Linked DNA regions of Pelodiscus sinensis. Each later gene encodes a partner of the first gene's protein in a complex. Links are inferred from orthologs where the notes say so. Each region holds a gene or a part of one and is shown in the gene's direction. Other genes may lie near its edges.

Region 1 (6,779 bases):
CAGCAGCTCTGTAGCCTAGGGGAGAAAGAGAGTGCAAGGGATGGAATCAGACAGAGCCTAGACACTGCCCCTCACAAGGCCTGTGGGGCTGCCTGGTCTCCAGACGTCCTCTGACCACAACTCTGTTGGTGTCAGGGAGATGGCATTTGGAGGCAGAACCCCGGAGGCCTCTAATGAAGGATGGGGTTCCATAGTCCCTTTCCCCACAGTCCCAGAGCAGGAACACCCCCCACTTGGAGCAGGGGCTGGATCTGAGGACAAGGGGAGGAGCAGAGGTCAAGACAGGACAGGCAAATGGTGGTGTGGGAAAGAGAATTAGCCTGAATCTGGGCTGTGGTGCTGGTTAGGGGGGAAAAGGGTCAGAGAGAGGCATACAGATGAGGGGAGGGAGGGGGAGGAAATGGGAACTAATCCTGAAGAATGATGCCACCAGCTGGCACATGGAGGCATGGATTGGGAGGATGTTACCTTTCCAAAGGCTCCTGTGGGGTCAGCAAGCATCCGCACCTGGGGGGGAAGGGAGAAAGGTTTAGGGAGCCAATGGGGAGGTGGCTGTGAGGCAGGGGCAAGGGCTAGGAGTGTCAAGTGCTACACCCAATCCTGGAATTACACAATCTACAGGCCCTTGCACAACCAACAACTCCTGCCAGGAAGGGAAGTGCTCCTGGTAGCCTGGATGAGTCACCCAGGGGTGGGGTAGGGCTCATGCAGCCTTGGGGTTAGGTAACATCTGGATGAGGGAGAAGAGACTCCTCCTCTGCCCCTTGAGACTCAACACCATACACCCCCTATAAAGACACTGCTCTGGGCCTTGACCCCTGCTCACTCCCCCTGCCCAGGAACCCCTAGTCCCACCAACCTCGCTCCCCTTGCTATGGCCCTGGTACACTGCACATTCCCTTTGGCTGGTGTCCTCACCAGCCCTCCGCTCCTCCAGGCTTTGGCATTGCGGCCCTCTCATCCTGGGTGCCATAGCTCAACTTCCACACTCACTCCTGCCTTGCCCCCCTTCATTTCCCTTGCCTTGGGCCCATGGGCCTTGTCCCCATCCCTCCTGCCCCTGCCCTTGCCCTGAGCTCCATGGGCCTTGTCCCCATTTACCCCTCCCACCTTGGCCTGAGCCCTCAGGGCCTTGCCCCCATGCCCCACCTTTCTCTGAGCCTTGTGGGCCTTGCTCCCGCTTTACCTTTCACTTGCCCTGAGCCTCATGGGCCTTGCCCTTACTTCTCCCCTCCCCCCCTTGCCCCCCCGACACACACACAACTTGCCCTGAGCCCCCTGGGCCTTGTCCCCATTTCTCCCTCCCACCTTGCCCTGAGCCTTGTGGGCCTTGCCCCCACTTCTCACCTTGCCCTGAGCCCCGTGGGCCTTGCCCCACTCACTCATGACAAAGACATCATTCACAGCCAGGCAGGCAATCAAGTCCATGCCCTTGGCCTTTAGTGCTCCGGCCTGCTCCACATAGCCTGGCAGGTGGGTCTGAGGAGAGCAAGAAGAGCATTAGTTTCCCAGCATGAGAGCAGAGTGGGGGGAGCATTAGACATCAGCCCAAGGAACCTCCTTCACCCAGCATGTCCCTCAGCACCCAGGGAGGGTGCTGGACAGGATATACTGAGCTCATATATGTGTCCCTTTCTCAGCGCATCCTGTGAATCCCTTCACTCCAGGGATGGGCTTGGGAGGAGGGGTGCTCTGGTGGATGAGTTCTGAGGAACTGGATGGGAATGGGGATACTCTGAGGAGTGCTTGAAGGCACCTTGGGATGGGGGCTTTTAGGGAGCAGGGAGCGGAGTCTAGGATAGGGATTACAAAGGGTGAGTGGGGGTGCTCTAGAGTCGGTGTGTATTCTAAAATGGGTAAGGTAGTGGGGGGGGGGGAGACAGGGAACTGCGGGGGGTCTCCAAACCTCACCTTGGAGCAGCCAGGGGTGAAGGCACCAGGCACCCCAAAGAGAATCCCCTTCTTGCCCTTGAAAAGTGCTGCCACATCCACTTTGGTATCAGGGTCTCCCTCGTACACCTCCACACTGGGCAACTTGTCTCCAACCTGGAGGACACAGAGGATGAGAGCTGGGGGAAGCCTTGCCATGTCTCCTTCCACCCCACCACTCAGGGCAAACATCTTCCCACTCCAGTGCAGGGGGTAGGAGCTACCCACACTCAGGAATTCCAACTAGGAGCCTGTTCCTCTAGCCCCAGCTATAACCCTCCCACCTCTGTCCCAGCACCAACAGGGCATGACTAGAACAGATGCAGATGTGGACCCTATGCAGCTGAGGACCAAGGGGGGGTGGGGTCTCCCTTCCCATCCAGCCAGCTTCCTGTCTCAGAAGCTGCCCCCCAGGCCTGGAAAGACACCCCTCCAGCAGAAGCACAAAGCCTATGATGAGCTTCCCCTTGGCATAGGGAGAGCCCCATGTGCACCCCTCAGTTGTGTCTATGTGCAAGGGTGCTGTCACAACAATCCAGGGCAGGGAGCAGGGTAGAGACTCAGTGACTCAGCACCTCTGCCTTGGAGTTTCCAAACAGATTACTCAAGCTCATAAGTTAGACACCTCCCCCAGTTCCCTGTCCCTCATACCCACCCAAAACCTTCTGGATTGCCATGTGTACTTCCCTTTAGAGATGTAATAGTATAACTGTTTGAACAGTTACGTGATAAGTCTGGGCTTATTAGTTACCATCAACAGTTACACACAAGCTCCCAGCCCTGCTCCCAGGGAGCCAGCTGCCCCCCCATGCTGTGGGCTCTATATCAAGAGCCTGCAGCACAGGGCAGCAATGAGCTGCCTGGGAGCAAGGCTGAGAGCCACACACTGGCTCCCAAGGAGCTGGCTGCTGCTGCCCCTCCGGCAGAAGGGCTGTAGGCGGAGCTGGTGCGAGCCTGGAGCCAGCTGAGAATTTTCAGTGGTTACAGTTGCTTAATTAACTGTTTTTAAACAGCCCTATTCCCTTTCACATCCAATAACCCTCCCACCTCAGCCTGCTCATCATCCCCCCACAATCCCAACCAACCTCCACGTCCCCCACTATCCCTTACAATCAACCCACCATCTTCAGCTCACACCTACCCTTCCCCCAGCCTCTACCCTGTTTTCCCTCTTGCACAATCCAGCTCCCTCTGCAGGCATGTATGAGGGTGGGGGGAGGAGGTAGAGAGGCGGGGAGGTTTGTGCGAATGGTGCAAAAGCACCCCCCAAGTGAGCATGCTCCAGCCAGCCAGGGGAAGGCTGGGGCTGATTTCCCACTTACTTGGGGGAGCCATGGGGGATGCATTCACACCTTTGTGGTGCACATTTACAAAAAGGCACCCACACCCACAGAAATTCCTGCATATGGGCCTGCTCCGACCCCAAGCTCCCCCCACTCCTGCCTCCCATTTCACCCCATAACCGAGCTCCCCTTCTCTGCAGCCTAACCCCTCCCCCATTTTCCCCTTCTCCATCCTGCCTTTCATTCACCCCCCACCAGTCCTTTCTACTCCCAACTTCTCCCTGCCCCCTAGATCTGGAGGGTGTGGGGCGCTCGGGGCCCCCTTGTTAGGCAAGAGCCCTGGGGGCACGGACACAGGTTCTAAGGATCCCGAGGCCAGGCTGGCGAGGGGGAGCCCTGATTCGGGAGGGGTGGCTCCGCTCGGGGCCCCGGTTCTCTGGCGGGGGCCCCGGCCGGCGGCTGATTTAAGGGGAGCCCAGACAGGGGCGGGGCAGGTTGGAGGGTTGAGGGCCCGGTGGCCCCTCTCACCGCCCCGCCCGCTCTCACCTTGACGGGCGCCATGACAGCCGCTGGGCTCGGCAGCTCCGGATCCTCTGGGCTCGGCGCCGGGGGCCCAGCCTGCAGCAGCCCCCGCCACACCCCTCAACACAGTCACCATGGAGACCGCCTGAATGACAGTTGCCAAGGAAACGGCCGGGGGGGGCTGCCACCTTCAGGGTGGAATGGAATGCCCATGCGCCGCAACCCACAAGTCTGTGTTTGCATAACATTTGCATATCATAGGTGGCTCATTTGCATGACAAGTTTGTACAGTGTTTTTTACACAGATTGATTTTGATTGGTAGCGCGGCATTAATTTGCATACAATTAACACAAGCTTTGTGATTCATGGCTGCTTTTCTTCTATCTTGTGCATATACTTAAATCAAAACTGCATGTAATTTGAATATTATTTGCATACATCAATCCCTTTGTTTCCAGTCCAATTCTTCTCTCTTCCCCTTTGGGACGAGAGGCCCAGTGGAGTAGCCGGGATCCCTCGGGGTGGCGCTCTATCTCCGCATCTCTCCGGAACCCTCAGCTCGGGCCCCGTGTTTCCCTTCCAGCCGCCGGATCCTTTTGAGTAAGGGACATTCCAGTCGGAAGCAGCGTTTGTGCGGGGGGGGGGTGCGAATTGAACCGGAAGTAGCCAAGTTTTGGCTTCCCACGTGAGTACGCGAGCGGCGCCCTGCGCGGGAGCGGCGCGAGGATGAAGCTGCTGACGCACAACATGCTGACCTCGCATGTGCGGGGCGTGCGGCCCGGGGGCGGCTTCCCCCTCCGTATCCAGGTAACAGGATCCTCCAGCAACCAGGGGCCCACGTCTGCCTGGGCTGATTTCCTCCCCCCATAGGCCTGATGGGGCCCCGGCTGCGCCTCATTGGCTCTTCCGCTCCCCGCAGGCCACCGAGGTGAAAGTGAGTAACGTGGACTTCAACCAGGAGTTCGTGGCACGGATGATCCCCAAGGTGGAGTGGGGGGCCCTGGTGGAGGCTGCTGAGAGCGTGAGTACGGGGGAGGGGCTAGCCCGTTCAGGGCATGGGTGGGAGGAGCTTGGCAGGGGGAGGAGCTCACTCTGGGCGCTATCATGGCAGATAGGCAGCATGGATCTGCACTGCAGCCTTTGGGGGGATTGGAGAGAAGTGGTTTTGGGAAGCATCTGAGTCGATAAGAGCAAACCCTCTCTTCTGGTGCAGCACTGTGACATGGATCTTCCTCCTCCTACAGCTGGGCCACCTGTCAGACCTGCCTCCCCAGCTGCCTCCTGAGTATGAGAACAATGAAGACTTCCTGAAGAAGGTGCATCATGTGCTGCTGGAGGTGAGATTCTTCTCCACAATCCTTGTCCACAACCCCCCACCAGCATCCTGTGTGGTGCAGGGCCCTGGCTCCCAGGCACCACAAAAACCCTGGCTAAGGTTGTATGACAGGGGCCTATGATACAAACACAGATCCTTTCCTGGTCTGGCTGAGACACCGGGGAGTTATCCACCCATAGAGACACTAGGGCTCCCTGGAATCCTCCAGCGTGGGGGACCTCTTTCAGTTGTTGCTCTTGTTCTAAATGTAAGCCCAGGGGACCCACTCACAGTGAGAGTATGTTGATAGTGCAGCGCATTCTCCCACTGCTCTAGCTGTGTGTTGAAATCCACTCTCATGGGTTCTGGCAGTTCAGCAGACACTCTAGCACTTGGATTATATGATCCTTTGGCTTTTGCAGAGCATCCTGCCCCCTCCCCAACTGCTAAGAATCATGAGGTGGTTAGGGAGTTGTGACTTCAGCAAAACACCTCTAATCTCAAACATTTGAGAGGGGAAAACTGGTGTTCTGGGGAAGTTCCAGCTCTCCCTTACAGCATTTCAGGTCTGGATTGGGTAGAGCCAGGGCACAGGCTGTCCACTGTAGCTGACCCGTGATTATTCCTCACACACAGGTGGAGGTGATGGAAGGTGTACTGAAGTGCCCTGATTCTGGCCGGGAGTTCCCCATCACCAAGGGCATCCCCAACATGCTGCTAAGTGAGGAGGAGACGTGAAGGGCCTGGGTGTCCAAGACGGAAAGATGGGGTAGGGGAGCTCCCTGAGGTGGGAGGGAGAGTCCTGTATGATGTAGAAGACAGTCTTTGCTTGTTTGGTTTGTGTATAAATAAAACTATGAGGTGGAGCCTGGCCTAGGGCATATCATCTATTAATTGTCCCTCCTCCCCTGCTGTGTCGCTCAGTCCTAACCTGCAGCTCTCAGCTATCCCAGCCCTGGGCTTCCTCCCACCCACTGTTGTGCTGGCGACTTTCTGTTCTAGTACCATCTCCATGCTTAGTCCTGGGTCTGTCCGAGCATTGACCTACCCCACACCTTGCACCGAACTCTCTGTTCCTCTTGGATAGTTATTTGGTTTGCAGTGGTACCTAGGAGTCCTAGACCTGAAACAGATCCCCCAGTGGAGTGGGCACTGCTCAGATACCCAGTCAAGAGCAAGGCCTCTAGTGGGCTAGGTGCTGCACAAACACAGAACAAGACAAAGATCCTGCTCCTTCTTAACTGCTAGGAAGGAAGACTGGACACAGACTGATATCTCCATGGTTTATTCTGGCTCTGGAATATAGCTCTATGTATGTGTGTGTATAGCACCTATACACAAAATAGAGGTATTTATAATATATACACATACATAATTTAATACAAACGCCCTCCATGTCACCCCACTTGTTATAGAAATGGGGAGACTGAGGATACACCCCCAGAGGGGAGCAGAGATGAAGGGGTCACGTATTATCCTGCAACAAATATACAGTTTGATATATTGCTATGTACATGTTTCTCAGCATCTTCACCCCATCCCAAGGGAAAGGGGGGGCTTATTGCTATGGGCAGCAGAGGGTCAAGAGGAAACTTGAGGGGGGATGGAGGGGATACTGGCCTCTGTTTCCTTCCCTAGGGACCCCCTCAATATGGCCAAGCCTTTGCAACCCCTCTTCCTATCTGTACAGCTGCCCAATCACAGTGCTGTTTTTCCCCTCTCCAAATTC
Region 2 (7,504 bases), about 14 Mb from region 1:
GAGTTGGCACTGAGGTTTGTTGCAGGTATTGGTTCCTGAGTTAGAGTTACTGTGGTGCGGTGTATAGTTGCTGATGAGAATTTGCTTCAGGTTGGCGGCTTGTCTGTGGGCGAGGACTGGCCTGCTTCCCAAGGCCTGTGAAAGTGAGGGATTATTGTCCAGGATGGGTTGTAGATCACTGATGATGCGTTGGAGAGGTTTTAGCTGAGGACTGTAGGGGTGTGTCTAAACTACATGGCTCCATCAATGGAGCCATGTAGATTAGGCTGATCGGCAGAGGGAAATGAAGCCGCGATTTAAATAATCGTGGCTTCATTTAAATTTAAATGGCTGCTGTGCTCTGCCGTCCAGCTGATGATCAGCTGTTTGTCGGCAGATCGGGGCAGTCTGGACACGCCACGGTCGACAAGGAAGCCTTTGTTGACTGCGCAGGTATGCCTCATGAAACTAGGTCCTCCGCCTGGGTCCTCCGCGGCTTTGCTCTGCGTCTCCCTGGTCTCCTGGGGGCAGAGCCCCCAGCAGACCAGGGAGACGCAGAGCAAAGCCGCGGAGCAGCTTTTCTCGCCCCAGAGGACACGGGCGGCGGGACTGCGGCACGTCTGGGCGGTCCCGCCGCCCGCGTCCTCCGGGGCGAGAAAAGCCCCGTTCGTAAGTACAGATCCGACATAAGTCGGATCCGCGTAACCTGGGGACTGCCTGTAGTGCAATTTCTTTATCATGAAATCTTACCTTACAAATATAGAATTATGTACAAAAAAATCTGCATTCAATAATAAAACAATATAAATCTTTAGAGTCCACTCAGTACTACTTCTTGTTCAGCCAATCACTCAGACAAACAAGTCTGGTTACAATTTGCAGGAGATAAAGCTGCCCAGTTCAATGTCATCTTTTGGTTCTGGACATCCAACACTCCAGTCATCTGATGAAGTGGGCTGTGCCCACGAAATATCATGATGCCATTTACATGTTTTGTTAGTCTTTAAAGTGCTACCAGGCTATTTGTTGTTTTTTAAGTTTATCTGAAAATGAGAAAAGGCATCCATGTAGCACTGCTGTAGCTGGTATTGCAAGATACTTATGTGTCAGATGCACTGAAGATTCATATGCCCCTTCGTGCTTCAGCCACCATTCCAGAGGACATGCATCTGTGCTGATGATGGTTTCTGCTTGACAGTGGTCTCCAACCTTTTGGGGCTGCCGGGCGCCCGGGGCTGGCACCACGCATGTGCTGCGTGCCTGGGGCAGGGGCCACCCATGCGCCACATGCCCGAGGCTGGTACCGCGCATGCGCTGTGCACCCGGAGCGGGGCAGGGCTGGCCCAGATCGTTTGACGGGCGCACATAAATGCCCCGGCGGGCACCACGTTGGGGACCACTGCTGCTTGGTAACAATCCAAAGCAATGTGGACTGATGCATGCTCATTGTCATCATCTGAGTCATTTTCATCATCTGGGGCCATTTGGCGGAAAAAAACCCTTTTGCGTAAGATCCCTTATTCCTCAAAAAATGAGGTTTACAGGCTCTTGCACAAAAGGGTTTTTTTCTGACAAATGGCCCTGTCTACACAAGGCTTTTTATTGTAAAAACTGCTTCCGCAAAAAGGATTGAAAGCGATGCAAATGAGAGCATGATATATGCAAATTAGCACCCATTAGCACCTCTTTTGCAAAATACCCACAGTGTAGACGTAACCTAAGAGATGGGGAGCTGACACTCAGGGGCTCTGGAGTGGAGCTAGTAGTGGGGGGCTGCAGGGTAGGGCTGACACTAGTGGGCTTGGGTTAGGGCTAATATTGGGAACTGGGGGCTGGCCCAGGGGGGCTCTGGGATGTTGGGTACAGGGGGCTTTGGAAACAGGAGACTGGCACTGGGGCAGGGTCAGGTGGTGGGAAGCTCTAAGGGGCAGGGCTGGCACTGAGGCATTTGGGATGGGGGGCTGGTACTGGGGGACTCTGAGGGTGGGAGGCTGGCACTGAAGGGGTTGGGTGCAGGGGATTCTGAGGTCAGTGGCTGGTGCTAGAGGGTAGTGAAGGGGTGGGGGATTCTAGGGATTAGGACTGGCACTGGGGGGCTCTGGAGCCAGGGCGTACCCCAGCACTGGCTTCTAGAGCCACCGTGAACAGCTGTCTTCAGCTGTGGCAGTGGCCCACCACATATAATGAATATGCAAATATTCAAATAAACTGTTACCGGTCTGCCAAAAGTTTGTGAATGGGTTTGCCAGTCCATGGTATAAAAAAGGTTGGGAACCACTGCTTTAGGGCATAAACCAGTCACTGAGGGATGGTGATTAGGACGAAACTTTTTCAATGGCCAGGTTATTCCATAATTGTCCACTGTGAGGTGTCTTGCTCTGTCCTCTGAAGCATTTGGAGTGGATGGGCCACTGGTTTGGTCTGCTGTTTGATTTCTTATAGTCCAGTTCCATGAAATTGTATGAAAATAAGAGAACGAATGAAGTGATTGAGTTTATTCCATTTTGATTGACGAAGATACCAAATGCAATCAAAAACTTCAATTGCAAGAAGTTCCTTCTTCTTGCCAAACCTCCAGGATAATTTAAGTGCGTTAATATTTCACAGACCCCACTAAGTCAAATGGACAGTGTAGCTTTGCAGTTTGTCTTTTTGAATCTTCCCTGGATTTTTCTTGCATGAAAACCCCATGTAACACATTTAATTAAATTAGTCAGTATTCTCTCTAGCTAGCTATAGTCTTTATTCAGATTATGCTACAGTTCTGTTCTAGTCACCCTAGAGAGTGTCTTCCTCTTTTCAGAGAATGGAAATGAATTGGTTAGGTTCTTGTACACTTGCCAAAGACCCACAAGGGTGAAACTGGGCTCTGCATGTTAACAGTGAACTAGCTATGCTCTATTCTTAAAGGCAAATATGCAGTAGAGATGACGAGAAAATTAAGATATGTGGACTCTCTACTCAGACCCTATGCCACAAGCACTCCCAGCTAGATAGCTGAGACACCACTGATTTCCCGAGAAAACTACAAGGCATTGGTGATCTTCCAGAAAACACCAACCTAGCCACCATGGATGTAGAGGCTCTCTACACCAACATCCCACACATAGATGGAATACAAGTTGTCAAGAACAGTATCCCTGATGATGCCACAGCACAATGGGTGGCTGAGCTCTGTGACTTTATCCTCACATAGAACTATTTCAGATTTGGTGACAATATATACCTCCAAACCAGTGGCACCGCTATGGGCACCCGCATGGCCCCACAATATGCCAACATTTTTATGGCTGACCTGGAACAATGCTTCCTCAGCTCTTGTCCACTAGCGCCCCTTCTCTACTTATGCTACATTGATGACATCTTCATCATCCGGACCCATGGGAAGGAGGCTCTGGAAGAATTCCACCATGATTTCAACAATTTCCACCCCACTATCAACCTCAGCCTGGACCAGTCTACACAAGAGATCCACTTCCTGGACACTGCAGTGCAAATAAGTGATGGTCACATAAACACCACCCTATACCAAAAACCTACTGACTGCTATGCCTACCTTCATGCCTCCAGCTTCCATCCTGGACACACCACTCGATCCATTGTCTACAGCCAAGCACTAAGGTACAACTGCATTTGCTCCAACCCTTCAGAGAGAGACAAACACCTACAGGATCTTCACCAAGCATTCTTGAAACTACAATACCCGCCTACAGGCAGTATTCAGCTGCTGTTGAAACTGATCAGTGGCTGATTCCAGGAAGCCTGGGGCAGAGCAACTCTGCCTCGGGCTTCCTGTAGTCAGCCGCTGGTCAGTTTCAGCAGCAGCTGAATCTGGATGCCAGTTCCAACTTACATACAGATTCAACTTAAGAACAAACCTACAGTCCCTATCTTGTACATAACCCGGGGACTGCCTGTATAAAACTTATTAGATGAACTGAAAAATACTTTTTTGTTTTTTATAGTGCAAATATTTGTAATAAAAATAAGTGTAAAGTGAGAACTGTACACGGGGTGTTCTGTATTGTAACTGAAATCAATATATTTGAAAAGATAGAAACTATCTACAGTCCCAGCCTGCAGCTTGTGCTCCCACGCCCTCTGTGGACAGGAGCGACTCTGGCCGGGCTGGAGCGGCCGGCAGGCGAGGAGCTGCTCCAGCCCCCAGCCGTGAACCGGGTGACGCTCACCCGTTAACTTTCCACATCCCTGGATGCAATCAGGGGCTTCAGTCAAATGTGAGTCGCGGCCCAGCGGCGGGTGCAGTGTAGCTGTAGCTACGCCCAGTGCACGGGGCAGACGAGGCGGCAAGATAGAGCCTGTCTGCAAGACGCACCAACCGGACCAGCTTTCTAGGCACGGCCTCAACGTAACCCAGCAACGCGAGGAAGCCGCACGCCCTGGCACTGGGCGGGGCCCGGCCCGGATCTCGGAGGGGGAAGCGACCCCCCCCCCCCCGGTCGCACGCCGGAAGGAGGGACAGCCCCGGAAGTGCTTGGTAGCGATTGACCTCCACGGACCGGAAGTAGCGTTGCCGGCGCCCCTCACGCGCTGTGCGTTCTTGGCCGTTGCCGCCGGTAACTAACAGACGGTCTTTGTCCCTGCTCCCCCCAGCATTGGGACAGCCCGAGAACGCTGCGCCCCGAGGAGCGGGTTGGGGGGGTGAGCGGCCGCAGGGAACGTAAGGAGCCCGGGTGGGGAAGCCACCAGCGGGCAGCAGCGGGGGGGCCTCGGTGAATCGCGTCCGCCCTAGTCTCGGAGGTGAAGTCTTCGCGAGGAGCCGCCTCGCGAGCTTATCCCCAGGGGCCACCCGCCAGGCCGCGCGCGGAACGGAGGAGGCGCGAGCCGCTCGCTCCCCACGTAGCCCGGTGGAGCGGGGGCACGGTGGCGGGGAGACCCTTCCCCCTCCCGCCCTCTCCCCCAGCTGCCTCAGCGAGCGCTGGCCATGGGTAGGGGAAGACCTTCGCTTAGGCCAGGCTCAAACTCCTTGTTTAATCCAGACTGATGCTTATTCCGTCCCTCCTCGCTCAGAGGAGACGCACTGAAGGGTTGGCTCGTACGTGCCATGCTTAGACCGTTTTTGTCTTTGCAGGAGTGCTACTGCCACTGTATATAATAGTCGCGCTGGGGTCTGAAGTGCTGTCAAAATGTCAGATATTGAAGAGGCTTCTGACACCTTAGCAGACGTGCACCTCGATGATACACATAAACCTTTAACTGAAAACACAGACAGTGATCTCCATTCAAGCCTGAAAGAGACCGTGGTCACTATTGGAGCTACTGTACCAACTGGTTTTGAGTTCACAGCAGCAGATGAAGTGAAAGAGAAATTAGGATCACAGTCCAGAATAAGCAAGGACCGAGGAAAAATCTATTTTGAAATTTCAGTAGAGAAACTTTCACAGGTTTGCATATTTTGTTCCTTGGGTAACTTATCTAGGTTAGGAATTTATTGGTATTCCTTTTTTTCCCCCTATTTGTCCTGGGCCTTGTTTTCTCCCTTTGATGTACAAATTTAAATGATCAGTTAGTGATTTTCTGTATATGAATTGAATATTATGAATGCTAAACATTGGGTTCATTTCTAATGTTATCATCATCTTAAATTAATGATAAATAATGCTTTTTATATGTTGAAAGATTTCACTAATTGTATATTCTGCAAATATTTAACTAACAGCTGAAATGCAGCCCCATCTGTATTTGACTATGACTGCTGTTAAACTGGAATTTATACATCTTGAACTATCATTTTAAAAAAGTCATAGAAACCCTATTCTTTCTTTTCACCATTGTGACTAAACATAGAAATAATTTTTACAAATAAAAATAATTATATTCCAGTCTCTTATAAACAATATATTCTAGTATTAAAATCTACCTATATATGTATACACACAAACAAACTTACATAATACTCTACTATATACAAAATATTCTAGTAGTAATTTGTAAGTGCCTCCTCTATCTCTCTGGACCAAAAATGTTCCATAGAATCTCTATGGATAGTAATTCCATGCTCCAATAGTAAGAATATAGCAGTAAGGATTATCGACCACTTTTTCAGGACAGTGATAGTGACTATGAAATGCTGAGGGAGATTAGAGAGGCTATCAAATTTAAAAACTCAATAATAGTGGGGGATTTCAACTATCCCCATATTGACTGGGTACACGTCATCTCAGGATGGGATGCAACATCCCTGTGGTAGGAAAAAAACCTCAGCAGCTCAACATTATGGCATTTAATTTCAGAAAGGGGAACTACACAAAAATGAGGAAGTTAGGTAAACAGAAAGGTAGAGTGACAAAAGTAAAATCTCCACAAGCTGCATGCAAACTTTTCAAAGACACCATAAAAGACGCCCAACTTAAATGTATACCCAAAATTAAAAAACACAGTAAGAGAACCAAATAAGTGCCACCGTGGCTTAATAACAAGGTAAAAGAAGCAGAGACAGATACAAATATATCTTTTAAACAGTGGAAGTCAAATCCTTGTGAGGAAAATAAAAAGGACCATAAACTTTGTCAAATTAAGTGTAAAAATATAATAAGAAAAGCCAAAAAGAAGTCTGAAGAACAGCTAGCCAAAAACTCAAAAAATAATAGTAAAATGTTTTTAAGTACATAAGAAGTAGGAAGCCAGCTAAACAACCAGTGGGGCCCTTGGATGATCAAGATGCTAAAGGAGAACTCAAAGACAATAAAGTAATTGAAGAGAAACTAAATGAATTCTTTGCTTCGGTCTTCATGGCTGAGGATGTTAGGGAGATTCCCAAACCTGACCCGTCCTTTGTAGGTGAAAATCTGAGGACTTGACACTTCAATCTGTGACATTAGAGGAGGTTTTGGAACAAATTGATAAACTTAACAGTAACAAGTTACCGAGACCAGATGGCATTCACCCAAGAATTCTGAAAGAACTCAAATGGGAAATTGCAGAACTATTAACTGTGGTTTGTAACCTATCTTTTAAATCTGGTTTCATACCTAATGAAAGGAAGATAGCTAACGTGACACCAATATTTAAAACGGGCTCTAAAGGTGATCCTGGCAATTACCGACTAGTAAGTCTAACGTCAGTACCGGGCAAATTAGTTGAAACTATAGCAAAGAATACAATTGTCAGACACATGGATGAATATAATTTGTTGGGGGAAAGTCATCATGGTTTCTGTGAAGGGAAATCATGCCTTACTAATCTGCTAGAGTTCTCTGAGGGGGTCAGCAAACGTGGACAAGGGGGATCCAGTGGCTATAGTATACTTAGATTTCCAGAAAGCCTTTGACGAGGTCCCTCACCAAAGGCTCTTAAGTAAAGTAAGTTGTCATGGGATAAGAGTGAAGGTCCATTTGTGGATTGATAACTGGTTAAAAGACAGGAAACAAAGAGTAGGAATAAATGGTAAGTTTTCAGGGTGGAAAGAGGTAACTAGTGGGGTCCCTCAAGGGTCTGTCCTGGGAGCAATCCTATTCAGCTTATTTATAAATGATCTAGGGAAAGGGGTAAACAGTGAGGTGGC
Region 3 (8,516 bases), on another chromosome or scaffold:
AAGCACTGTGACATGGCAGCCCCTCCCCAGATGCCAGTAGGAGGTCATACCCGTCTCTCCCCTGTTAGCAGATAGCATGCTTTACTGCTCCTCCTCGAGCCTTATTCTGATTCTGGGGGTGTGGAGAGGGTGAATAAAGAAAAGTTATTTATTAGTTCCCATACTAGAACTAGAGGACAGAAATGGTGTCCCTGGCCTCTGTTTGTCAGAGGCTGGAGATGGATGGCACGAGACAAATCCCTTGATCATTATCTTTGGTCCACCCCTTCTGGGGCACCTGGTGCTGCTACTGTCAGCAGACAGGCTACTGGGCTAGATGGACGTTTGGTCGGACCCCGTATGTCCGCTCTTATGGTCTGGCCACAGTCAACAGCTTGGAAAGAACCAATTCCATCCCCTGGGAGCAGATGCTCCAGTAACAGTTTGACCTACTGCTTCTTTGTCTGGGGGAGCCCAGCTTGTACCCGTAGGATTTGGCTGAATAGGTCCCAAAACGGTGGGTTTACGGCTCAGGGTCCACAAGGGGGGAAGGGACAAAGCAGCTGGAAAATCATATCCCTAGAGCTCTGCAAATTCTCAGCTGTGGGTGTGGATTTGCATGGCTTGTTTTTCTTGCTATGGAGGCAGACCTAGAATCCTGCAAATGTGTAGATACCCGCTTTATATCTGGGGGGCATCTGCAGATCGCTTGCGGATGTGGATAACAATTTTATATCCACACAGGGCTCTACATATTGCTCCCCCGGATCCCCTAACCTCTCATCTCACAGTCCTCCACTGTCTTGGGCCCCCAGCTGCATACCCTGAGAAGGGGAAAAGGGAGGACCTGTTTGGCCTTTGTTGCACAGAGGTGATGTCACAGCAGTGCCTTATGGGAAATGTTTCCCTGGCCTCCCATCTAGGCTGTCTCTACACTGGCGTGATCTTGTGCCAAAGTGGCTGCTCTTGCTGCCTGTCTACACTAGCCGTGTGTTCTTGTGCAAATAAACTGATGTTCTACTGTATGAAATCAGGGCTTGGCGCAAGAGCTATGATGCTCCTGGTCAGGAATAAGCCCTTTTGCGCAATTGTTCTTGCGCAAGAGGCCAGTGTAGACAGGCAACATGAATTTCTTGCGCTAGAAAGCCCTATGGTTAAAATGGCCATCAGAGCTTTCTTGCGCAAGAGCGTGTCTACACTGGCATGAATGCTCTTGTGCAAAAGCACATGCCAGTGTAGATGCTCTCTTGCACAACTACTTTAACACAAGAAGTCTTGCGCTAAAGAGTTTTTGCACAAGATCATGCCAGTGTAGAGGTCCTACAGTATAGTTATTGAGGCCCCATGGCACTATGGGAAATGTATTTCCTCCTGCCTCAATCTCCCATAAGCTATTGCAGGCCCCAGCGTCCTGTGGGAAATGTATTTTCCCAGGCCTCCATCTCCCATCAGCCAGTACAGGCAATGTACGGTTAGTGTGGGGCCAAGAGGGATGCGCAGGACAACTGAGGAATACTGTCAGGGAAGAAGGCCAAATTCTTCCTTGACAGTCTGCATTTTTCTGCCTACTCCAAATACCAATGGGCTGAGAAACAATCTCCACTCATTGACATATCTGCTTTCCATGACTAACTTTGCATATGTTCCCCTGGGTGTGCATAAAACGCACTGGCTATGTCTACACTGGCGGGTTCTTGTGCAAGTACAGCCATTCTTGCGCAAGAACCCGCAGAGCGTCCACACTGCCCACCCTCTCTTGCACAAGAAGATTTACAGTACGGCGTGATAAGAGGGCTTCTTGCATAAGAGCTATGCTTTTTTAACAGGTGTAAGCCCTCTTGCGCAGGAGCTCCTGCGTAAGAGAGCAGTGTGGACACTCGGCAGGGATTTCTTGCACAAGAAAGCCCTATGGCTAAAATGGCCATCAGAGCTTTTTTGCGCAAGAGAGCATCCACACTGCCATGGGCGCTCTTGCACAAAAGCACAGCTTACACATGGCAGTGTGGATGTTTTCTTGCACAAGAAGCCGTGAGTGTAAACATAGTCTCATTCACTGCTATCTAAACTGTGCTGTTGAACATGCACGCCAAAATCTGGGTCAGCAATTGTGTAGTGCATGTATCGTGAGTTCTTAAGCAAAATTTAATAATTAGATAATTCAACTCTGATGTACAGATCCTTTCCTCATAACTTATACACCATGTGAAGTTTTATTTCCCCTGCCTTTATCTCCCATCAGCCATGTGGGCACCATGGGGAATGCACACATTTGTGGGTCTTAATGTCCACCCACTGTCCTTTTCCTATCCCTGTTCCGTGGCTCTGCTTCCTCTAGAGAGGATCTAGTTAACTTAAAGAGTGTAAAAGCCTGCCAGAGCTATTAGCAGAAAGAGCCATTCAGTTGCTAACGAAGCCAATTTAACAGGCATTTGCCAACTCCAGGTATATAGCATGTCCTTTCTGAAAATACGGTGTTAGTTCACAGGACCTTAGTTTAAATTTTCTCCTGGGGCTACTAGACCAGTGTTTTTCAACCTTTTTTTTTTTTTTTTTAATAAAGTACCCCTTTTAAAATATATGTATCCTCTTAAAAAAAAAAGTACCCCCAGTACCTACAGGTTTTTTTCACACATTTTTTTCCCCATTGCAACACATTTGTTTAAATAATTTAATCATAGCTGAGCGGACAATGAAATTTTTGCATGTAAAAAGTACAAAAATAATTAAGCACTGTTAACAAAAGTTCAGTTTTCTCCAAATTTCAGTTGCGTTGAATTACCTCTCCCCCCCCCCCGACGTCTCTGGAGTACCCCTAAAGCTACTTGTACCACTAAATCATAGAATCATAGAACTGGAAGGGACCTCGAGAGGTCATCGAGTCCAGCCCCCCGCCCTCAAGGCAGGACCAAGCTCCGTCTACACCATCCCTGATAGATGTCTATCGAACACAGTGTCTTCTCCTTGTGTGCAATGAGATAATGTAACAGTGTGTGACAAACAGGAGATGCTTTTGTTTTTCTGCCTCAGCATCCCAATCCGTCCAATGGGAAAGGAACATCTGTGTCACTCCTGGCAGAAATGAGAATGGGCATTAAAGCACTCTGTGGAGGAGAAAGGATTGTGTCATGGTGTTGAGTGCCAAAGCATTTGGAAATTTGCTAAAATGTCTAGTCTAGAGGAACAAGAAATGGCCGGAGACAAATCCCACAGGAAGATGTGCATGAAAGAGGCTGGGGTTTGTACTGGGGTCTGACTAGAGCTTTATACCCCTCACTGTCCCTTGGCAGATGCAGCCTCTGACCCGTGGTGGCTCTGCAAGGGGCTTGATGAAGAGTTGGAGGCTGGGTGGGGGCTCTGTGGGCAGACTCCCAGACACAGAGGGGGCTGGAGGCCGGGAGGGGGCTATGTGGGCAGACTCCCCTGACACAGAGGGGGCTGGAGGCCGGGAGGGAGCTCTGTGGGCAGACTCCCTTGACACAGAGGGGGCTGGAGGCCGGGAGGGGGCTCTGTGGGCAGACTCCTGACAGAGGAGTCTGGAGGCCGGGGGGGGGGTGGCGGCTCCGTGGGCAGACTCCCCAGATGCAGAGGGGGACTGGAGGCCGGTGGTGGGCTGGGGGCCGACTCCCCAGATGCAGGGAGAGCCGGGGGGCAGACTCTCCAGACGCAGGGGGGGCTGGAGGCTGAGGGGGGCGGGGAGCGGACTCCCCAGACGCAGAGGGGGGCTGGAGGCCGGTGGTGGGCTGGGGGCAGACTCCCCAGACGCAGGGGGAGACAGGGAGGCAGACTCCCCAGACGCAGGGGGAGACAGGGAGGCAGACTCCCCAGAAGCAGGGGGAGACAGGGAGGCAGACTCCCCAGAAGCAGGGGGAGACAGGGAGGCAGACTCCCCAGACGCAGAGGGGGGCTGGAGGCCGGTGGTGGGCTGGGGGCAGACTCCCCAGACGCAGGGGGAGACAGGGAGGCACACTCCCCAGACTCGGGGGGGGGGCTGGAGGCCGAGGGGGGCTGGGGGCAGACTCCCCAGACGCGGGGGGGGGGGGCTGGAGGCCGGTGGTGGGCTGGGGGCAGACTCCCCAGACGCAGAGGGGGGCTGGAGGCCGGTGGTGGGCTGGGGGCAGACTCCCCAGACGCAGAGGGGGGCTGGGGGCAGACTCCCCAGACGCAGAGGGGGGCTGGGGGCAGACTCCCCAGAAGCAGGGGGAGACAGGGAGGCAGACTCCCCAGACGCAGAGGGGGGCTGGAGGCCGGTGGTGGGCTGGGGGCAGACTCCCCAGACGCAGGGAGAGACAGAGAGGCACACTCCCCAGACTCGGGGGGGGGGCTGGAGGCCGAGGGGGGCTGGGGGCAGACTCCCCAGACGCGGGGGGGGGGGGCTGGAGGCCGGTGGTGGGCTGGGGGCAGACTCCCCAGACGCAGAGGGGGGCTGGAGGCCGGTGGTGGGCTGGGGGCAGACTCCCCAGACACAGAGGGGGGCTGGGGGCAGACACCCCAGACGCGGGTGGGTGCGGGGGGGGGCTGGAGGCCGGTGGTGGGCTGGGGGCAGACTCCCCAGACGCGGGGGGGCGCAGGGGGGGGGCTGGGGGCAGACTCCCCAGACGCGGGGGGGGGCTGGGGGCGGCTGGGGGCAGACTCCCCAGACGCGGGGGGGGGGGCTGGGGGCAGACTCCCCAGGCGCGGGGGGGCGCTGGGGGCAGACTCCCCAGACGCAGAGGGGGGCTGGAGGCCGGTGGTGGGCTGGGGGCAGACTCCCCAGACGCGGAGGGGGGCTGGAGGCCGGTGGTGGGCTGGGGGCAGACTCCCCAGACGCGGAGGGGGGCTGGAGGCCGGTGGTGGGCTGGGGGCAGACTCCCCAGACGCAGAGGGGGGCTGGGGGCAGACTCCCCAGACACAGAGGGGGGCTGGGGGCAGACTCCCCAGACGCGGGTGGGTGCGGGGGGGGGGCTGGAGGCCGAGGGGGGCTGGGGGCAGACTCCCCAGACGCAGAGGGGGGCTGGGGGCAGACTCCCCAGACGCGGGTGGGTGCGGGGGGGGGCTGGAGGCCGAGGGGGGCTGGGGGCAGACTCCCCAGACGCGGGGGGGCGCAGGGGGGGGCGCTGGGGGCAGACTCCCCAGACGCGGGGGGGGGGCTGGGGGCAGACTCCCCAGACGCGGGGGGGGGGCTGGGGGCCGGTATTCAGGGCGCACTGGACGGTACGTTCTCGGCTGTAGGAAGAGACCGGAAATCCGATCTGTCTGCCGGGGACCTGCCGCCGCCCGCGTCGCTCACACGGAAGCGGGGCCGGGGCCGGGGGGCGGTCAGTAGTGGGCGGGGCCGGGGGCGGGAGGCTGAGGGGACGGAGCCGGGGGCGGTCAGTAGTGGGCGGGGCCGGGGGCGGAGCGGGGGCGGGAGGCTGAGGGGGCGGGCCGGGGCGGTCAGTAGTGAGCGGGGCCGGGGGCGGGAAGCTGAGGGGGCGGGGCCTGGCGGGCGGCACGCGATGGCGGGCGGATCGGAGGCGCCGGGCCGGGCCGGGCTCCGCTATTTCTGCACCGCCGGCCGCGGCCTGGAGCCCTTCCTGCTGCGCGAGGTGCGGGCCCGCCTGGGGGCCACGGAGGTGAGGGGCTCGCCCGCGCGGGGGGGGCTCTGCAGGGACCCAGGGCTGTTGGGGGGGGGGCCGGGGTTGGTCGGGGAGCAGGGGGCTATGGAAGTGGGGGGGGCTCTGCAGGGACCCAGGCTGTTGGGGGGGGGCTGGGGTTGGTCGGGGAGCAGGGGGCTATGGAAGTGGGGGGGCTCTGCAGGGACCCAGAGCTGTTGGGGGGGGCCGGGGTTGGTCGGGGAGCAGGGGGGCTATGGAAGTGGGGGGGCTCTGCAGGGACCCAGGGCTGTTGGGGGGGGGCCGGGGTTAGTCGGGGAGCAGGGGGGCTATGGAAGTGGGGGGCTCTGCAGGGACCCAGAGCTGTTGGGGGGGGCTGGGGTTGGTCGGGGAGCAGGGGGCTATGGAAGTGGGGGGGCTCTGCAGGGACCCAGGGCTGTTGGGGGGGGGCTGGGGTTGGTCGGGGAGCAGGGGGGCTATGGAAGTGGGGGGGCTCTGCAGGGACCCAGGGCTGTTGGGGGGGGCTGGGTTGGTCGGGGAGCAGGGGGGCTATGGAAGTGGGGGGGCTCTGCAGGGACCCAGAGCTGTTGGGGGGGGCCGGGGTTGGTCGGGGAGCAGGGGGGCTATGGAAAGTGGGGGGGCTCTGCAGGGACCCAGGGCGGTTGTTGGGCTGGGGTTGGTCGGGGAGGCAGGGGGCTATGGAAGTGGGGGGGCTCTGCAGGGACCCAGAGCTGTTGGGGGGGGCCGGGGTTAGTCGGGAGCAGGGGGCTATGGAAGTGGGGGGGCTCTGCAGGGACCCAGAGCTGTTGGGGGGGGCTGGGGTTGGTCGGGGAGCAGGGGGCTATGGAAGTGGGGGGGCTCTGCAGGGACCCAGGGCTGTTGGGGGGGGGCTGGGGTTGGTCGGGGAGCAGGGGGGCTATGGAAGTGGGGGGGCTCTGCAGGGACCCAGGGCTGTTGGGGGGGGGCTGGGGTTGGTCGGGGAGCAGGGGGGCTATGGAAGTGGGGGGGCTCTGCAGGGACCCAGAGCTGTTGGGGGGGGGCCGGGGTTGGTCGGGGAGCAGGGGGGCTATGGAAGTGGGGGGGCTCTGCAGGGACCCAGGGCTGTTGGGGGGGGCCGGGGTTGGTCGGGGAGCAGGGGGCTATGGAAGTGGGGGGGCTCTGCAGGGACCCAGAGCTGTTGGGGGGGGCCGGGGTTGGTCGGGGAGCAGGGGGGCTATGGAAGTGGGGGGGCTCTGCAGGGACCCAGAGCTGTTGGGGGGGGCCGGGGTTGGTCGGGGAGCAGGGGGGCTATGGAAGTGGGGGGCTGTGCAGGGACCCAGAGCTGTTGGGGAGCGCTGGGGTTGGTCGGGGAGCAGGGGGCTATGGAAGTGGGGGGGCTCTGCAGGGACCCAGGGCTGTTGGGGGGGGCGGGGTTGGTCGGGGAGCAGGGGGGCTATGGAAGTGGGGGGGCTCTGCAGGGACCCAGGGCTGTTGGGGGGGGGGGCTGGGGTTGGTCGGGGAGCAGGGGGGCTATGGAAGTGGGGGGGCTCTGCAGGGACCCAGGGCTGTTGGGGGGGGGGGCTGGGGTTGGTCGGGGAGCAGGGGGCTATGGAAGTGGGGGGGCTCTGCAGGGACCCAGGGCTGTTGGGGGGGGGGCCGGGGTTGGTCGGGGAGCAGGGGGCTATGGAAGTGGGGGGGCTCTGCAGGGACCCAGGGCTGTTGGGGGGGGCTGGGGTTGGTCGGGGAGCAGGGGGGCTATGGAAGTGGGGGGGCTCTGCAGGGACCCAGGGCTGTTGGGGGGGGGGGGCTGGGGTTGGTCGGGGAGCAGGGGGGCTATGGAAGTGGGGGGGCTCTGCAGGGACCCAGAGCTGTTGGAGGGGGGGCCGGGGTTGGTCGGGGAGCAGGGGGGCTATGGAAGTGGGGGGGCTCTGCAGGGACCCAGGGCTGTTGGGGGGGGGGCTGGGGTTGGTCGGGGAGCGGGGGGCTATGGAAGTGGGGGGGCTCTGCAGGGACCCAGGGCTGTTGGGGGGGGCTGGGGTTGGTCGGGGAGCAGGGGGCTATGGAAGTGGGGGGGCTCTGCAGGGACCCAGGGCTGTTGGGGGGGGCTGGGGTTGGTCGGGGAGCAGGGGGGCTATTATGGAAGTGGGGGGGCTCTGCAGGGACCCAGAGCTGTTGGGGGGGGCCGGGGTTAGTCGGGGAGCAGGGGGCTATGGAAGTGAGGGGGCTCTGCAGGGACCCAGAGCTGTTGGGGGGGGCCGGGGTTGGTCGGGGAGCAGGGGGCTATGGAAGTGGGGGGGCTCTGCAGGGACCCAGGGCTGTTGGGGGGGGCCGGGGTTGGTCGGGGAGCAGGGGGGCTATGGAAGTGGGGGGGCTCTGCAGGGACCCAGAGCTGTTGGGGGGGGGGCTGGGGTTGGTCGGGGAGCAGGGGGGCTATGGAAGTGGGGGGGCTCTGCAGGGACCCAGGGCTGTTGGGGGGGGCTGGGGTTGGTCGGGGAGCAGGGGGGCTATGGAAGTGGGGGGGCTCTGCAGGGACCCAGGGCTGTTGGGGGGGGGGGCTGGGGTTGGTCGGGGAGCAGGGGGCTATGGAAGTGGGGGGGCTCTGCAGGGACCCAGGGCTGTTGGAGGCGGGGCCGGGGTTGGTCGGGGAGCAGGGGGCTATGGAAGTGGGGGGGCTCTGCAGGGACCCAGGGCTGTTGGGGGGGGGCTGGGGTTGGTCGGGGAGCAGGGGGGCTATGGAAGTGGGGGGCTCTGCAGGGACCCAGGGCTGTTGGGGGGCGGGGCTGGGGTTGGTCGGGGGAGCAGGGGGGCTATGGAAGTGGGGGGGCTCTGCAGGGACCCAGGGCTGTTGGGGGGGGGGGGCTGGGGTTGGTCGGGGAGCAGGGGGCTATGGAAGTGGGGGGGCTCTGCAGGGACCCAGAGCTGTTGGAGGGGGGGCCGGGGTTGGTCGGGGAGCAGGGGGCTATGGAAGTGGGGGGGCTCTGCAGGGAC
Region 4 (8,169 bases), on another chromosome or scaffold:
CACATCCCATTAAAATTCTGCCCTGTGTCCATCACAAATGGATTGTTGATTGGTTTGCCAATTAAGTCTTCTCTTTCTCTGGCCTTCCATTACCCAGGAATCTGTTATTCCTGCTCTCACCTAAAGCCATGTCTTCACTTGCTGTGCCGGAGATCAATCTTCTGGCATTTGATTTAGCGGGTCTAGTTAAGATCTGCCAAATCAAATGCTAAGGGTGGCACCAGTACTTCTCACAGTCATGAGGAGAAAGGCAAGTCAATGGGAACGTTTGCTCCCATCAACTTCTCTCTGCGAAGACAGTGTCAAATTCGGCTTCAGGTAAGCCAACTCCAGCTACGTAGAGATAGTTGACTGCTTCAAGAAACCAGCTTGATCACAGACCTCATGGTTTTAATATTCTAATTAAGACCAAGGAAAGGAGAGAGAGAGAGAGAGAGAGCGCCCATCCAACTGAGGGGAACTGAAGAGGGAGAGTGGTTCAGAGAAAAAGGGAGAGGGGAAAAAGGTGGAAGTAAAGAAGACAGACTACAAGAGCAGCAAAAGAGAAAAGGTAACAAGAGAGACAGACAATAGTTAGTAAAGTTGTAGGTAACAGAGCAGGTGAATGGAAATTACTACTGGAAAAGAAAGAGTCAAGGAGACAACTTTAAAAAAAATAAACAAGCAGGATAAGAAAAAATCCTAAATAGGACTTCAGAAAAAAAGAATAGAATGAATTAGATTGACTTGTTTAACTAAAAAATAAAAAAGGTGTAAAAGGAAGAAAGGGAAACTGTACATGTTTCCTCACATTCCTGAGACAATGTGGGTGACGTAGTATTTTTTACTGGATCGACTTCTGTTGATGAATACGACACACTTTTGGGTTTATTCAGAGTTTTTCCTTTAGCTCTGGGAAAGGTATTCTGAATGCCACAGCTCAAACCCAAAGTGGAACAGATAGGGAGTTAATTTATGTTACAAGAGACCATTTGAGGTGAAGCAAGCAGTTTGCACCTATACAGTCATAGGACAAAGGGGAATTATAGATTGTTGTAATAAACCATAAATTCACTCTTTATTAAGTACATGATTTTTGGTGTCTAGCAGAGTTAAGAATTTGAGACCTAGTCTACACTACCTTGGGCCATCAATCTAAATTATGTAACTTCAGCTATGTGACATAGCTGAAGCTGAAACATTTAGCTTTACTTACTGTAGTGTCTTCACTGCAATAAGTTGATGGCAGACACTGAACAAAGAGCGTAGGCAAAGAAGTACTGGAGTCAACAGGAGAACACTCAACAGTCAATTTATCACATCAATACTAGATGTGATCAATTGATTCCTGCTGGATCGATAGCTGCCTGTTGATCCAGCAGATAGTGTAGACATGTCCTCAGTTTCCAGGCCCGTCTTCTAAAGGTATTGTGCAGGTTTCCATGTGAGGACATGAACTGTGAGGAAGTACATAAGAATGGCCATACTAGGTCAGACCAAAGGTCCATCCAGCTCAGTATCCTGTCTGCCGACAGTAGCCAATGCCAGGTGCCCCAGAGGGAGTGAACCGAACAGGTAATGATTAAGCGATCTCTCTCCTGCCATCAATCTCCACCCTCTGACAAACAGAAGTTACAGACACCATTCCTTACCCATGGCTAACTACCATTGATGGACTTAACCTCCATAAATTTATCTAGTTCTCTTCTAAAACCTGTTATAGTCCTAGCCTTCACAACCTCCTCAGGCAAGGAGTTCCACAGGCTGACTGAGCACTGCGTGAGGAAGAACTTCCTTTTATTTGTTTTAAACCTGCTTCCCATTAATTTCCTTTGGCAGCCCCTAGTTCTTACATTATGGGAACAAGTAAACTCTTCCTCATTCACTTTCTCCACACCACTCATGATTTTATATACCTCTATCATATCCCCCCTCAGTCTCCTCATTTCCAAGCTGAAAAGTCCTAGTCTCTTTAATCTTTCCTCATATGGGACCTGTTCCAAACCCCTAATCATTTTAGTTGTCTCTCTCTGAACCTTTTCTAATGGCAGTACATCTTTTTTGAGATGAGGAAACCACATCTGTGTGCAGTATTCAAGATGTGGGCGTACCATGGATTTATATAAGGGCAATAAGACATTCTCCATCTTATTCTCTATCACTTTTTTAATTATTCTCAACATCCTGTTTGCTTTTTTGACTGCCGCTGCACACTGCATGAATGTCTTCAGAGAATTATCCACAATGACTCCAAGATCTCTTTCCTGATTAGTTGTAGTTAAATTAACCCCATCATATTATATGTATAGTTGGGGTTATTTTTTCCAATGTGCATTACTTTACATTTATCCACATGTTATTTCATTTGCCATTTTGTTGCCCAGTCACTTACTTTTGTGAGAACTTTTTGAACTTCTTCACAGTCTGCTTTGGTCTTAACTATCTTGAGCAATATAGTATCGTCTGCAAACTTTGCCACCTCACTGTTTACCCCTTTCTCCAGATAATTTATTAAGAAGTTGAATAGGATTGGTCTTAGGACTAACTCTTGGGGAACTACTAGTTACTCCTCTCCATTCTGAAAATTTACCATTTATTCCTACCCTTTCTTTCTTGTCTTTTAACCAGTTCTCCATCCATTAAAGGATCTTCCCTCTTATCCCATGACAATTTAATTTACATAAGAGTCTTTGATGAGGGACCTTGTAAAAGGCTGTGGAACACGTTCACCCAAAAGGTGATACAGTGTTTTTGTTTTCTATCATTCTTCTGTGAGACTACAACATTCCTTACATTTCTGAAAATTATTGTGAAAATTTTGTGGAACAGGACTGGATAGCTTTTGATAACATTATCTAATATGTTCTACTAAGTATTTACTCTGAGTAACGTGGTTAAACAACTGGTGTTCATTTGGAAGTCAGCTAATACACATTCTATATTCAAGTAACCAAAGTAGTGTTATTGCTGTTTACTTTTAATTATGCTTTTCCCACTACCATCTTTTTCATCCCCTGAATGATCAAGACATATCTACAAATTAGCCATTGTGTAACTACTACTTGATTGCTCTCTTTCCTTGAAAAGGCATACCTTCTCCTTCTTACAATTACATATCAAGGCCTAGTCAACACTGTAACTGGAATAGCATTAATTAAAAGTATCTGCTCACTTTTCTTGTTCTGTGAATCACACAGCACCCATATAAGAGTAGTGACTCCCAGTTTTAAAAGTTATGAACAGCATTTAAAGTGAAAAGTAAGGTAACCTGATAAAAGCATATGTTAAAATGGCACTCTTAGCTAGGCCTGGCCAAAGAGTTTGTGCGGCCCAAAGTGGTATGTTGTGGGTGACTGCACCAAGCCAGAGCAACAAGTGAGCAGCCGGGCGCCGGGCAGTGCGGGCCCCAAGGCAACTGCCTTGCTTGCCTTGCCCTAAGGCAAGGCCTGCTCTTAGCTGATCTCTTGTGTATTTTATCAATATTTTGACTTCTTTTGTCTTGTTTGGTTCTGTTCAATGAACATAGCAAATATGGAGTTGAATGTAATTTCTTCTTATGCATTATCAACTTAGTAACTAATTTCTGTGTACAGTGCCAGTTACACCTGAGCAAGCCCAGAAAGCAATGGGTTTGTGCAACTGTCCCTGTACATTTATGCACTGGAGTTAAGAATTTAACCTGCAAAACCTATGCTGCTGGTGATGGAACAGGGCATGAGAAGAACCCAGCTTGACTAAGATCAATTCTGCAGGGCTGACAATGTTGTCTAAAAATGTACCTTTTTTACTTGTACACAGAACACATTTGACACTGAGTCACGGATACACAATAAGCATGAAACCCACAAAGCCATTTTTGTGGTTACTTTCTTAGCACTCCCTAACTCCCTGGACATGAGAAAGGATATGGGTTTACATGGGAAAACAAATGAATACATTCCGGCAGGTCTTCTGGCCTCGGCACCTGCACCTTGGTCACAGAGCCTATCACAAGTTAAGCCATGACATTTCTGCCTACGCCTTGTGTTTAAATATTAGCACCATTGCACCAGCCTAATCGCCTTCCTCCTCCAAAAAACAACTCTCCCCAGAGGTACCACCCCTTCCCTTAGGGGCCACCTAAGGACGCACCTGCAGTCCTAGGCCCACCCACTAGGGCAGCAACTGCAGGTGTCGGCCCTACGCCCGCAGCCACAGGCCCCAACGGCCCCGCTCCAACGCTCCTCACTCCCGGGCCCGTTCGCCCGCCCAGGCCCGGCCGCCCGTCACCCCCCGCCGCTCACCCGGCCTCCCGCATGACGTTGCCGTCGCCGCAGTCGCAGGCGCCCCCTGCCTGGCTCCGGAACATGTTGTAGTCGTGCCCGGCGTGCTCGCCCTGGTGGAAGCACTCGGCGCACAGGCTCATGCAGGGCGAGATGCCGCACGTCCGGCAGCGATAGGCCACGAAGTTGGCCGTCCACACCAGGCCGCAGAGCGTGGCCGGGTCGTAGGCCCGCACCGCCTGCACGAAGTCCTCCCAGGGCTCGCCACCCGACAGCAGCCAGCGGCACCACTCCAGCGCCTCGGCCGCCGCCTCCCCGCCGCCCGCGGCCAGCGCCCGCTCCAGCAGCGCCTGCAGCTCCGCCGCCGCCCCGCTCTCCCCGCCGCCGCCGCTCAGAGCCGCCTTCAGTCGCGCCGCCGTGGCCCGCTTCTCCCGGCCGCTCGCACTAGCCCCCGCCATGATGAGCGCTGAGGCTGGACGCAGGAGCCGCTACGGCTGCGCCGGGCTCCCGGCTCTGGGGCTCCTACCCCCCGCCCTCTCTCCACTCCTAGCGGCGCCTCTCTCGCGATAGTCTGGGAGCCGGCACCGTGCCCGTCGCAAGCCGCCCGCTGCCCCCGCCCCGTGTCTGCCTCCGCCTGACATTGTCCCTCCGCTTCCTCCCAGGCCCTGCTCTTAGCCCGCCGGCCGCCTCTCACGCGCCCTGCGCTGGGCACGGCCTAGGTAGGTCGCCACACAAGGAGGTAACTTCCCAGCAACTTTAAAGAGAGGGGCATTGTTGTGTCTTGTAGCCCGGCCTCGTACTTGACGTGGTACTTACAGCGCCTCTCATCTGAGACTCTTGCAGCCCTCGCTACAAAAGAAAGTGAGCCGTGTGAGACAGGTGCTTAAACGGCAGAAGCTTGCTTAGGGAGGTGGCTTGTGCAGGTTTCACTCGAAACGTTTAAGAGAAAATGGATACAAGTTTTGACCTTTTAAAAGCTAAATGATATAATATTAGCTTTTATCTGTGATCCTCGCCCGTCCAAATTTAAATATAGACAGGTCACTTGCAAAAGTTGTATCAATTGCATTGTGCCATTGTATTCTTAGAGAAATAAAATATTTCTAGAAAGATTATAACCTATACTAATAAAATAAATATTTTTAATCTTCAAGTAAAAACCTTCTGCTTAGATTAGGGATATCAATGTGTAGTGAACCACATGATTAACCAATAAGTGTATCAAAGGCAGCAATGGGAGGGTGCAGGTAGTTGTTGGTGTGGCTCTGCAATTTAAAAGGCAGTAGGAGCCAGGCAGTCTACCCCCAGCTCCTACTACCTTTTAAATTGAAGAGCTGTAGTGGGGTTTGGTCCTGGTGTGAGCCAGGACTGAGTGGGGCTGCCTTCCACTATGGAGTAGTCAATAATTCTGTTGACTATTCAATTACTAAAATAACCTAAATTTAACATCCCCAATAAAGGAATAGAGTTGCTATTAAGTAAATGAAACCACAAATCAAATTTGAGCTGCTATAAGACCTAGTCCTGTAATTTACAATACAGACTACTGCTGTATCCATGTGAAGTTCTGCACTGTAAACTGCAGGAACAGCACTTATACCCTAGTACCCTAATAAATTAATTAGTCTTTAAAGTGTCATGGGACTTTGTGTTGTTTTTTCTGAAATTGACCAATGCAGCTATCTGATACCGATTATTAGGGAACGTCCTCTGGATTATAGTATTTTTAAATTTACAACTGTTGGCTATTATAATGATAATTAGATTTACCACTGTCTCATGGCAAATTTAAAATAAAAAATCTGTTGCTTTAACAAAAATAAACCTATATTTTATTTGGCTTAACAAATAAAAAAGTGCATGCTCCCTCTGCTGGTTTTGCAACACCATTATTCCTACGGCTGTGCTTGTAGTGTTGTAGCTATGTTGGTCCCAAGATATTTAATATCGTGGGTGAAGTAATATGTTTTATTGGACGAACTTCTGCCAGTAAAAGGGACAAGCTTTCAAACTACACAGAGCTCTTCAGGTCTAGGAAAAGAACTGAGAGTTTTGCAGAGCTGAAAAAGAGATGTGAAAACATTACTTGTGTCTCACTTTCCTGCTGGCATACTCCATCAATAAAATAATTAATCTTGTATTTTGGTACATTAGGAACAAAAATCCAAAGAATAATGTGCAATCAGCATGATATATTTTCACTAGAATTCTAGGAATTGCAAATGAGTGTAAAAACACTTAAGCCCAATCTATTAAAAGATGACAATCTTTCCAGTAGACAGTGAAGCTGCCAGTGTTTTGGTCACTAAAATCTGGTGCTAAGCAACGACTATGATATGAAATAAAGAGATAGCTGCTAGAGAAATGGTGACCTGGGAGGAATTCAAAGCTACCTAATAGCTCCTGAATCACTGCATTGGAGAACTGAAACTTGAATTTTGTTGCAGACATTTATTTGTCAGTGAACTGTTAGAGAGCCCTGAACCTGCAAGTGTTTTGCAAAACATTTAACATATGCACTTTGTTGGAAAAATAATTAAAAAGATAGGATCTTCATGTATTTACTCCAACAAATATGCATTTGCAAAAATATGTACTCAGTTATAGATGCATGGGGTGTGTGTGTGTCCTTCACAAAGCCCAAGTTCAATTCATCAGAGAGGACAAACCAGCAAAAGAGGGGAGTATTTTTCTCAACTCTGCCAACCAAAAGGCTCATATGGTGATCTCTTCTGTTTCTTTCTGCTGTGTCTAGAACAGTGCTGGGCAACCTACAGGCTACATGCAGCCCAATGGGGGCTGCATCCCATACACCCCCTGTTTGAGCTCCTCCCCCTCGCACACTAGGGCACTAGAGCCCAGCTCTTCCTACTCCTTCTCCCTCCCTGAGCACTTTGAGAGTGCCATGAATCCATTAATTCACACTCCATCACTTCTCTCTCTCCCAGAGCTTGAATGCCCACAAATCAGCTGAGAGGCAGGGAGGGTGGGGGGGATGGAGTGCAAATCAAAAGTTCTGGGAGGGAGAGAAGTAGGAAGTGTGGGGTTCTGGTGTCCCAGTGTGTGAGAGGCATGTGGGAGAAGAAAGCAGAAAGGGAGGTTGCCACAGGTGGAAGTGCAGTGGTCTGTGGTCTGCAGGTTATCCACCATTGGCGATCATGCGGCCCACTGAGACAAAAGAGGGCCACTCACGCGATCCACTCACTAGTCTTTGTGGCCCATCACTGGTCTAGAAGGAGCAAAGCAGGGAAGACAAGATGGATGAGGTGGTAACTTTTATTGGGCCAATTTGCATTGGTGAGAGAGACAAGTGTTGCTACTTAAACAAAACTCTTCTTCAGGTCTGAGAAAAGTACTGAAGCCTGCCAGCTAAATACACATAGGACAGCATGGTTAGGATGGTTTCTTAAACCAAATGGCAGGGTGAGCCGTCAGGGAGTTATTAAGGTTATGTGAGGATCATGAGGTGTCAGCCTCTCCCCCACCCCAAGCTTTGCTTCGACTCCTGTATTTATAATATTGTTAAATATTAAAAAGTGTTTTTAATTTTCATAGTCACAGGTTTGCTATGTGCAAAGAGAAAAGTTTGAGAACCACTGGTTTAGCATAAGTATTTTCTGCATATATAAAGGGGTGATTCAAGGGCTCTAAAGCTTTGTCTCTCAGCCAGCAGAAATTGGGCCAATAACAGGTATTACCTTACCAACCTTGTCTACTACTAACCTGAGACGCAGACGAGATTACAACCGCCTGCATAGCGCAAAGAGGGAAAGGAAAGGTGCCTAGGGGCAGGGTACAACGCTGCTAATAGCTGCTTGGGACTAAATAGGAACTGCCAGTGCTGGTCTCAGTTTCATATGTGCATAGGGGACAAGTTAAACTGCTGCACCGTGTGGCGAGAGGCCGTGCAATGAGGTAGGTGCTTGGG

What was found.
Region 2: TRMT112 (region 1) and THUMPD3 share a complex: the UniProt entries of both Homo sapiens proteins name them as parts of the heterodimeric THUMPD3-TRM112 methyltransferase complex. The link is inferred for Pelodiscus sinensis from reciprocal best matches to the Homo sapiens genes TRMT112 and THUMPD3.
Region 3: TRMT112 (region 1) and THUMPD2 share a complex: the UniProt entries of both Homo sapiens proteins name them as parts of the heterodimeric THUMPD2-TRM112 methyltransferase complex. The link is inferred for Pelodiscus sinensis from reciprocal best matches to the Homo sapiens genes TRMT112 and THUMPD2.
Region 4: the proteins of TRMT112 (region 1) and METTL5 are in contact, whole or in part, in a crystal structure (PDB 6H2V), measured with the Homo sapiens proteins. The link is inferred for Pelodiscus sinensis from reciprocal best matches to the Homo sapiens genes TRMT112 and METTL5. Residues at the interface, in NP_001359000.1 of Homo sapiens: Met1, Lys2, Leu4, Thr5, Leu8, Leu9, Ser10, Ser11, His12, Phe21, Pro22, Leu23, Pro34, Val35, Asn38, Asn40, Phe41, Arg44, Met45, Lys48, Glu92, Arg111, Gly112, Ile113, Pro114, Asn115, Met116, Leu117; in NP_001280115.1 of Homo sapiens: Asn52, Lys53, Val54, Gly75, Leu76, Val78, Ile82, Leu87, Asn91, Thr100, Ile102, Asp103, Met104, Val105, Gln106, Cys107, Asp108, Asn114, Arg115, Met116, Ser119, Phe120, Asp121, Arg150.

What each region holds. Positions count from the first base shown.
Region 1 is NC_134721.1:33,162,795-33,169,573, forward strand, and holds TRMT112 (multifunctional methyltransferase subunit TRM112-like protein), read left to right. Parts: upstream 1-4,354; 5' UTR 4,355-4,461; coding exon 4,462-4,542; intron 4,543-4,654; coding exon 4,655-4,756; intron 4,757-4,979; coding exon 4,980-5,072; intron 5,073-5,686; coding exon 5,687-5,788; 3' UTR 5,789-5,949; downstream 5,950-6,779. Other genes in the region: PRDX5 (peroxiredoxin-5, mitochondrial), read right to left, coding at 1-15, 469-507, 1,348-1,479, 1,912-2,046, 3,759-3,773. UniProt on the Homo sapiens protein: Acts as an activator of both rRNA/tRNA and protein methyltransferases. Together with methyltransferase BUD23, methylates the N(7) position of a guanine in 18S rRNA.
Region 2 is NC_134721.1:19,628,570-19,636,073, forward strand, and holds the start of THUMPD3 (tRNA (guanine(6)-N(2))-methyltransferase THUMP3), read left to right. Parts: upstream 1-4,407; 5' UTR 4,408-4,556; exon of another isoform or gene 4,557-4,660; intron 4,661-5,071; 5' UTR 5,072-5,126; coding exon 5,127-5,384; intron 5,385-7,504. UniProt on the Homo sapiens protein: Catalytic subunit of the THUMPD3-TRM112 methyltransferase complex, that specifically mediates the S-adenosyl-L-methionine-dependent N(2)-methylation of guanosine nucleotide at position 6 (m2G6) in tRNAs.
Region 3 is NW_027465841.1:139,274-147,789, reverse strand, and holds the start of THUMPD2 (U6 snRNA (guanine-N(2))-methyltransferase THUMPD2), read left to right. Parts: upstream 1-5,413; 5' UTR 5,414-5,453; coding exon 5,454-5,570; intron 5,571-8,516. UniProt on the Homo sapiens protein: Catalytic subunit of the THUMPD2-TRM112 methyltransferase complex, that specifically mediates the S-adenosyl-L-methionine-dependent N(2)-methylation of guanosine nucleotides, most probably at position 72 (m2G72), in the U6snRNA of the major spliceosome.
Region 4 is NC_134717.1:39,992,345-40,000,513, reverse strand, and holds the start of METTL5 (rRNA N(6)-adenosine-methyltransferase METTL5), read left to right. Parts: upstream 1-4,837; 5' UTR 4,838-4,960; intron 4,961-5,057; exon of another isoform or gene 5,058-5,077; intron 5,078-8,010; exon of another isoform or gene 8,011-8,156; intron 8,157-8,162; exon of another isoform or gene 8,163-8,169. Other genes in the region: E3 ubiquitin-protein ligase UBR3, read right to left, coding at 4,263-4,699. UniProt on the Homo sapiens protein: Catalytic subunit of a heterodimer with TRMT112, which specifically methylates the 6th position of adenine in position 1832 of 18S rRNA.